2 linked regions of the Tribolium castaneum genome follow. The main gene of each other region encodes a partner of the protein of the gene in region 2 in a complex. Links are inferred from orthologs where the notes say so. Each region holds a gene or a part of one and is shown on either strand. Other genes may lie near its edges.

The links.
Region 1: eIF3j (region 2) and eIF3e share a complex: the UniProt entries of both Drosophila melanogaster proteins name them as parts of the eukaryotic translation initiation factor 3 (eIF-3) complex. The link is inferred for Tribolium castaneum from reciprocal best matches to the Drosophila melanogaster genes eIF3j and eIF3e.

The regions. Positions count from the first base shown.
Region 1 is NC_087394.1:22,552,543-22,556,850, reverse strand, and holds the start of eIF3e (eukaryotic translation initiation factor 3 subunit E), read right to left. Parts: upstream 3,119-4,308; 5' UTR 3,031-3,118; coding exon 2,941-3,030; intron 2,893-2,940; coding exon 2,614-2,892; intron 1-2,613. UniProt on the Drosophila melanogaster protein: Component of the eukaryotic translation initiation factor 3 (eIF-3) complex, which is involved in protein synthesis of a specialized repertoire of mRNAs and, together with other initiation factors, stimulates binding of mRNA and methionyl-tRNAi to the 40S ribosome.
Region 2 is NC_087396.1:21,286,898-21,290,589, reverse strand, and holds eIF3j (eukaryotic translation initiation factor 3 subunit J), read left to right. Parts: upstream 1-1,491; 5' UTR 1,492-1,806; coding exon 1,807-1,819; intron 1,820-1,879; coding exon 1,880-1,965; intron 1,966-2,010; coding exon 2,011-2,118; intron 2,119-2,164; coding exon 2,165-2,462; intron 2,463-2,514; coding exon 2,515-2,651; intron 2,652-2,695; coding exon 2,696-2,746; 3' UTR 2,747-2,990; downstream 2,991-3,692. Other genes in the region: Srp54 (probable splicing factor, arginine/serine-rich 7), read right to left, coding at 1-1,231. UniProt on the Drosophila melanogaster protein: Component of the eukaryotic translation initiation factor 3 (eIF-3) complex, which is involved in protein synthesis of a specialized repertoire of mRNAs and, together with other initiation factors, stimulates binding of mRNA and methionyl-tRNAi to the 40S ribosome.

The sequences.
Region 1 (4,308 bases), on a different chromosome or scaffold from region 2:
AGACAAAATTGACACTTAACGTGATTTTTTCCCAAAATTTATCTTTTTTTGCTCGAATGCATTCGATCATCGATTTATGTATCAAAAGAATAATCAATCAATAAAGTGATGTTAATTATTGTTGATGTTAATGAAAATATGTATTTAATAAAATGTTCAAAAAATAATTTAATTTTTGTAATAAAATTTAAGGGCCAATTTCATAATCGGATTTAAAGGAGCATTCAACTAAAAGTTGTTTATAATGTGCTGGTTACTATGGATTTGTGGACATTTCACATTCTAAACATTTAATTTAATGCTCCTTTAAATTCGATTATAAAACTGGCCCTTAATTAATTAAAAAATAAAATAAATATTAATAAATAATACAATGTGTTTTTAAATAATTCTCATCTAGTCGTCTGTGAATTTCTACAGTAAAATCAGAAAATACCGCTTCATATAAATAATGATAGGCATTTAGACATCGAATATTACCATTCTCCATTTATTAAGGCTCCAAATATAAAGTAAGCTTAAAAAATAAAAGTGTTTTCTTGCACGGTATAATAATTTAGTTACATTTTAACGAAGTTTTTAAAACAAATTAAATGAATTTGCCAACTGACAGACTTTACATTTATTAACAGAGGATTCAATTGAGCAAAGCGGCACAATTTTTTACATGTAAACCAATTTCAAAGTTAACTGGATGAGAATCATTTAAAAACACATTGTATAAAATATTAAAATTTAATAAATCGAAATTTTGAGGTTAGCAACAATTTTATTAAGAATTTTTTGCTTAAAATATCATTCATTTAAAAGACACTATTGAAATTATAAAATTAATAATTAATTAATTACACGGAATAATATTTTCAATTTTATTAACATAATTTTTAGTAATTCATGTTTATTTAAGGAAATGTAAAAAAAAATAAAAAAAAATCTTTGAGAAAAAAATTAAGTATTTAATAGAAAACACTGATTTTTGTGTGACTAATTAATATGCCAACATTCTTTAATTGCTTTTAAGTTTTCATTAATTTTTGTTGCATTATAAGTGATAACAAATTCTGTAACTGACTGAACAATTTGCCCCGGAAATCACCGGAAGATCAAACCAGCTAACCCTTCTCGCATTAGCACAAATTTACGGAAAAAGCAGGATTATACCTTACTTGCCAACTGCGAAATTAAATTAAACAAAGAAGTTTACAGAATATTTCAATTACAATAAAATTTTTATTAGTGATTAACTTGACATTTGCCAATGCATTTTAAATGACAACTTAAACTCGAATTAGTCTAATTCGGAATTAAATTTTAATTTCGCTGTCTGTAGACCGACCCACAGTTTTTTTTTATTTTATTAATTAAATGGTAACAACTTCTAATACTAGTAGAATTAAATAATTTTTTTGAATATTAAATATTTTCGTAACATCAATAAAACTTCCTTGGCAGTTTATTGTTTTTTTATTTTTTTTAACAATTACTAATTCATTAATTGCATAAAATCGCAATCAAATTACATGATATTAAAACGCTGCAAAAGTTATTATTTCTTATGTTATTTTAGAACACCTGAAATACTTAAATGTTTTGTGCAAAAAGTTCGTAAAAATTTTTCTTAAGAATTTTTTGCTTATAGCATTATACGCCGTTGATCCAGAAAGACACTGCAGAATTAATTAAATTTCGATTAATCAAGTTTTTATATTTTGTATTTTATAAATACCTATTATTATTATTTGCTTAACTAATATCATATCAGAAAAATTAAAACATTATATTAAATATTTTCGTTAACATCAATAACACTTCCACGTCAGTTTATTGAGTGGCTAGCAAACAGCTCTGATTTAAATATCATTGAGTCTTTTTGGCACAAAGTAAAAAGGTATCCTACAAATCTTCCTCAATAGTTGTTGAAAGATTTAAAAAATAAAATAGAACATATTTGGAACAATAAAACGCCAGAATTTTGTAAGGGATTCGTTAAAAGTATGCCAGCGCTAAGTTGAGTCGTCATTGAAGCCAATAAAGATTGAAATTACAAAAAAATCTATCTTTTTTTTGTTCAAACAATTAATTGTCAAATATCATTCCTATTTTTCTTTGTTTTAATTTCATGTTAAATATAGTGTTTTAAAGTAGTGTTTAAGTAGGTCATAAGTTACAAATAAAGGTATTTCTTCAATTTATCCTTCTTTTTTTAAAATAAACATTCATTAGCTTGACGTGCATTTTCTTTGCAAAAATGTATTCGTCCAAACACACTATTCAGAAATGATTGTTCATTGCAAGTCACTTATGAAATTTGAACGTAATGTGCCACTTAATTTAAATTGTGAATGCCGTCAAAAGCGACAAAACCGTCAAATTAATGCAAAAAAACTTCAAATCTAAAAACGAAAGAGTACACAACAAATTTCACCGAGATGTAAAACACAAATGACGGCAAACCCCACACTTGAGAAATGCAAAAAAGTGAGTAAAAAGCTAAGATTTGACAGAGATGAGAGTATTCAAACACTACAATAATGATTTGAACGAAGCGGAACATTGTTTTTGACTTCCATAGTCGACTGGGTGAACAACCATTTTTGAACACATTGTATTTACTTTGTAATCCTTTGAAAGGAAATTAATCAAAGTTTTCGAATCCCTCATGTTTTCCATATTCTTCATGACCTCATCGTCGGCCATAATCTTCAAAATTGGTTGCACTTCCTGTTGAAGCTCCTGTAACTGAGCTACAACGTGTTGACGCCTTTGCTTCAGATCTTCAGGAACTTCTTCATTTGGATACAGCTGCTTTCGGATGTCAATAGCATAATCGATCATGTTGGTCTTGCTCAAAATATCTAATTTGGCTTTAAGCAATTCCGTTTCATCGTAAATCTACGAAATTCGGAATCAACCGAATGAACATAACCTCAAAAACTGTACCTCTTTAGCCGACAAAAATTCCAACAATGGAAACACCAAGTGCCGATCCAAATATTGCCCCATGCGGGAAGTTAAATCAAATTGGGCCATTTTATACCGTTTTTATGCAAAAACTAACAAGATTTTATAAAATGTGACACATATGGCGGCACCCTAGAATAACACTTTTATAGAAGCGGAACATAATGGTTGGCAATGAATTCCTAGCTGGAGCCATCTAGCCGCATCATCACGTACTAAAAATGGCGCGAATTAAATAATCCCGATTACTTTGTATTTTTTAAATTTTTGCTCACGTCAAAATGATGTCAAAACCTTATCAAATACAATTATTATGAAAATTTTCTAATTGTATTTGAAAAGGTGGATGCACAAACAGCACAAATAGAAGAATTTTACCCAACATGACACGATCTAAACACATTTAATATTAAAGATATTTATTAAATCCATTAAGTTTACAAAACTAATAGTCGTCACCGCATCGATGATAAAGACATACTTGCAATCAGCCAAACTGGCACCTTATGTTAGCAACTTCTGTCTATGGGAATCTCCTCACAGTGTGACTCACTTGCGGTTCGCTCTCAAAAAACTCACTTTTGGAAAAAACGCACCTATCAATGAAAACCTTCTGGAGCTCATTACTACGTTATATTCTTGGAGATCATGTTGTTCCTAACCGATAGTAGGCAATAGTCTAACCCAAACACGACACCTTGAACCACTATCTTAATAAAACTTTGAAAAATTAACGTGATATAAAAAATAAACTCAAATTTTGCTGACGTTTGTGAAATTTTTACTTGTCAGCCGCGCATCGGTACCACGTTTTTCTTCAGTAATATGAAATTTTAAATCCGCCAATAGGATTTCTTTTTCCCGTAAAACACTAAGGCCATCTATCCGCATCATCAGTAAATCCTATTTCAGTGAGCACAGCTTCCTTGATTAATGAAGGAACTTTCCCTTCACACGGCTGGCCGCATTGCTTAGTTCCATGGCATATTTTTGTTTCTGAGAGGGAGCCACTATAAAGTAAAACAATTCTGACAGTTCTAAGGTTAAGTGTTGTCACACTGCTGTCAGTGCAGAAGATTTCTAAGGCAAAACGCATTAGTATTAGCTGTATAGTTGTAGAAAACGTATTCTACAAACATTTGGCACGTGTTTTTACTGTGAGGAACCAAAAGCGCATGTTGCCATGTGAGTGACCAAGAGCCTATGCCAAGAGCGAACTGCGAAACACAAAACGAACGTAAAAAGCGTCATACAAACTTGAACATTTTGCCGAATGGTAAACAAACATTTTTATGCTCACGAAAATGATCAAAAGAGTGTTGGAACGCATTTGCAACCAACTGTACA
Region 2 (3,692 bases):
CTATACTACTCTCCTTCTTATCTTTCTCTTTCTTATCCCTTTCCTTCGACTTCCTATCCCTCTCCTTTGACTTGCGATCCTTATCCCGTTTCCTATCTTTCGACCTATCCCGAGTCTTAGATTTGGCCCTTGGCCTACTGCGACCCTTCGATTTCGACCTTGACCGGCGTTCGCGCGACCTTGAACGCCTCGTACGTGAAACCGAACGTTTCCGAGAGCGAGACTTCGAGCGTTTACGCCGGTCACGTGATCGTGAACGGCGTGAACGTGACGTTGAACGGCGACGACGTGAACGTGAACCACGCGAGAGTGACCTTGAGCGTGAGCGGCGTCTACGCCCTCTAGATCTTGAGCGGGAACGTCGCGAGCTCCTTTTATCTTTAGTTAGCATTCCGATAACTGGCTCAATCGAGGCATTGATCATGTTTTGAGCCTCTTTAAAGCGAGACATTGCTTCTTCAATTTCCTTCTGAGCGGCTTCGTTACTTTTGGCTTGGGGCTTCATGATTGGTTGAGTGGCGTGAATGATTTCCAGCGGCTTGCCTTTGAACTCTTCACCGTTCATTTTCATGGCGTTCACGACGCTTGGCTGTTCCGTGAATTCGATCAAAATGTGCGTGGTGTTGTCGTTGGGGCACTCACACACTCTCAAATACTTCACTTCACCGGCTTGTGAAAAATACTGGATTATCTCATCTGTGGGTATGGCGGGGTCAATATTGACCACTTGGACCGTTCGACGAGTCTCCTCGACTTTGATCGAGTCGTATTTGGCCGGCAAAGGGGGATAGGGGGCGCAGCCATTGTCAGTCAAATGGGGGTCATTTGTGACAACAACGCGTTCCTCGCCTGTGCCTTGGAACGAATTGGAGACATGTGGGGGCAACTTTGGCTCGTTTACGTTAAACCCGGGGACAATGGTCCCGTTACGGGTCATCTCCAGAGCGTAGTACTCGTCGGGGATGTCCCCGTTGATCACAGGGATGACAATTAGGGCCCGGTCGATGAAAACAGTGTTTGTCATGTGTTGGGCTACACCTACCGTGCTGGAATCCACGAATTTAACGTAACAAATCCGGGACTGGACAGGACAGGAGACGTCTCGAATCGTGGGGTACAGGCGAATGTCTTCGATTTTACCCAAGTAGCCGAACAGCGTCTGCATCTGGTCCTTGGTGGCCTGGGGGGCTATGTTGGTCACCTGGACCACCTTAGTGTTACCCACGACCATTTTCACGCACTATTTTAACATTTTCCAACGAGTTTAAAAAACGTAAAACGACGCACATTGACAAGTCAAATGACAGCAAGTGTCGCCAACTATTGTTCAATGATGAAAAACGCGGTGAAAAAGCAATTTATGGCCAATCGTCCTAATTAAAACTTTTTATGACTGTCCCAAAAGGATAATTTCAAATTATTTAAAATCTTTGGCGTTAAATAGCCTGTAAAACTTGCACTTTGGTTGTAATTTGGTGCCTTAATTGTGTGCCGGTTGGCAGGCGTAGTTGGTTTCTGTCAAGGGTGAGATGGGTGTTCGAGGGCTATTTTCGCTCGTGAATTGTTCAACTTCGCCTGATTTCGCTGACTTTTCATCTTGCAAGAGACATAAAAAGCCGAAACGTATTGTTTGATACATCTACAAATCGGTGTACTTGTGGAAGCTTCGAGAAAAGATAGTGTTTGGTTTGGTGACACTTTGACAGTGTCATCTGGCGGTTTCTGGTGCAGTTGCACGTTATTCAGCACACGTGAATTTCGAGGTTGAGGTCGTTTTGTGCTAATTTCGGCCGTATTTTCGCCAATATGGAATCGTGGGGTAAAAATTTAGTCAATTCTTTCACTACTTGAGCGAAAATTTGACATGGGGCTGTTTCAGACGACGATAACTTCGAACCTCCATCTGTTACACCTGTGGTTGCGTCCAACAAATGGGAAGGCGAGGACGAAGACGACAACGTCAAGGTAAAATGAGTGAATTCCTGCCAAAAATTTACCATTTTCCTGCAGGAAAGCTGGGAGGATGAGGAGGAGGAGAAGGTGGAAGCGGCGCCTGCCGAGGAGGCCAAACCCAAGCCCAAGAAGCAGTCAATCGCTGACAAAATCGCAGAGAAAGAAGTGGGTATCGCAATAGTTGTGACAAATCTAATTTCTCCTTATTCAGAGAAAGAGGAAGGAAGAAATGGAGCGGAGGCTGAGGGAGCAACAGGAGGAGGAAATCTCCCCGGAGGAGAAGCTCAGGATGCAGAAGGAATCGGACTTGAAAATAGCGCTAGAAACGACGTTTGGGGGCGACACCAATAGCACAAACATTTCAGGTTTAGACGGACTCACGCTGCCAACTACTAAAGAAGAGTTTCAGGACTTTACAGACGCTCTCTCTAAGAAGCTCCAACCTCTAGCTAAAAGCACAGAGTATCCGGTGTTCACCGAAAACTTACTACGAAATCTGTGTGCCACTTGTACGTCTCTCGTTTTAATTTAAAACAGCGTTAATGATGAATGTTCTTGCAGTGTCCTCATTAGATATTAAGAAAATTAAAAATACGTTAGATAATTTATACCTAGAGAAACAAAAAATCGAGAAAGGCGAGAAATCGAAGAAAAACAAAGGCAAAGGCAAGGCTAAATTACGACTGGATGATGGAAATGTAAGTTGTGGTTTTACAAGTGTTTGGGTTAATTTTTTTTGCAGCCTTTGTCAGCGTATGTTAACGACTATGACGATTACGACGACTTTATGTAGCAGATTGCAGCGGTTTAGATAGGGTTTTAATTTTTAAATAAATATCTTCGATAAATATAAATATTGTTAAATTATACGGTATTTTTAAAAAGGTGTAGTGTAATGATCATGCAATATGGTTAATAATTTTTACTTTTTTTTCACCGTTTTGTGTTTTTCTATACTAATGTAACGAGTCATTATTAATTAATGAGTTGCTGGTTTTTGTTGCTACTGATATAGAAGTTGTATTTTAAGGCGATTATTGTATGGATTTGCATACAAGTTGTATTCAATGGATTTGATGCAATTATTGTTAATATCAATATAATTTTTCAAAAAAATGATTGCGTTTTATTTAAAAAAGAATCAAGTGTCTTAGACACAGAGTTGCCACACGCACGCAATTTAAATCCCGTCTACGCCGTTCTGACGTGTAATTATTACACATTTATGCTGAAATTTATTATAGAACAAGTGGACCCCGCTTCTATAAACTTTTTGAGACCATAATCTATTTTAATGTTGAATATTTAAGTACCGTTGTTGGTATTCCTGTCCGAGTTTCATCACAATATTTGTTGTAAAAATGGCAAAATTGGTGCTTACCTCCACGATGACACTATGTAAACACTGATTCATTAGACTTTTCCCGATTTTAAACACTTTTTAAAACTAAACACAAACACCATGTTAACTTTTTTGTCATAAAAAGCAAGCGTCTTTAGACTCAGGGCTGCCACCATGCCACACACACTTGATTAGAATCCCGCCTTTGTAATTACTCGAAATTCCACTAAAATTAATTACACAACAAACAAAAACTGTCTTGGGACACATTTAACATGACTTTAGTCATTTAATACGGATTTAAAATATTTAGTGACAATCTTTTGGTGTTCTAGTTAGTGGCGTGGCAGCACTGTCGCTCCGAAAATTCAAACTTGAGACAAGTGTGACAAAATCC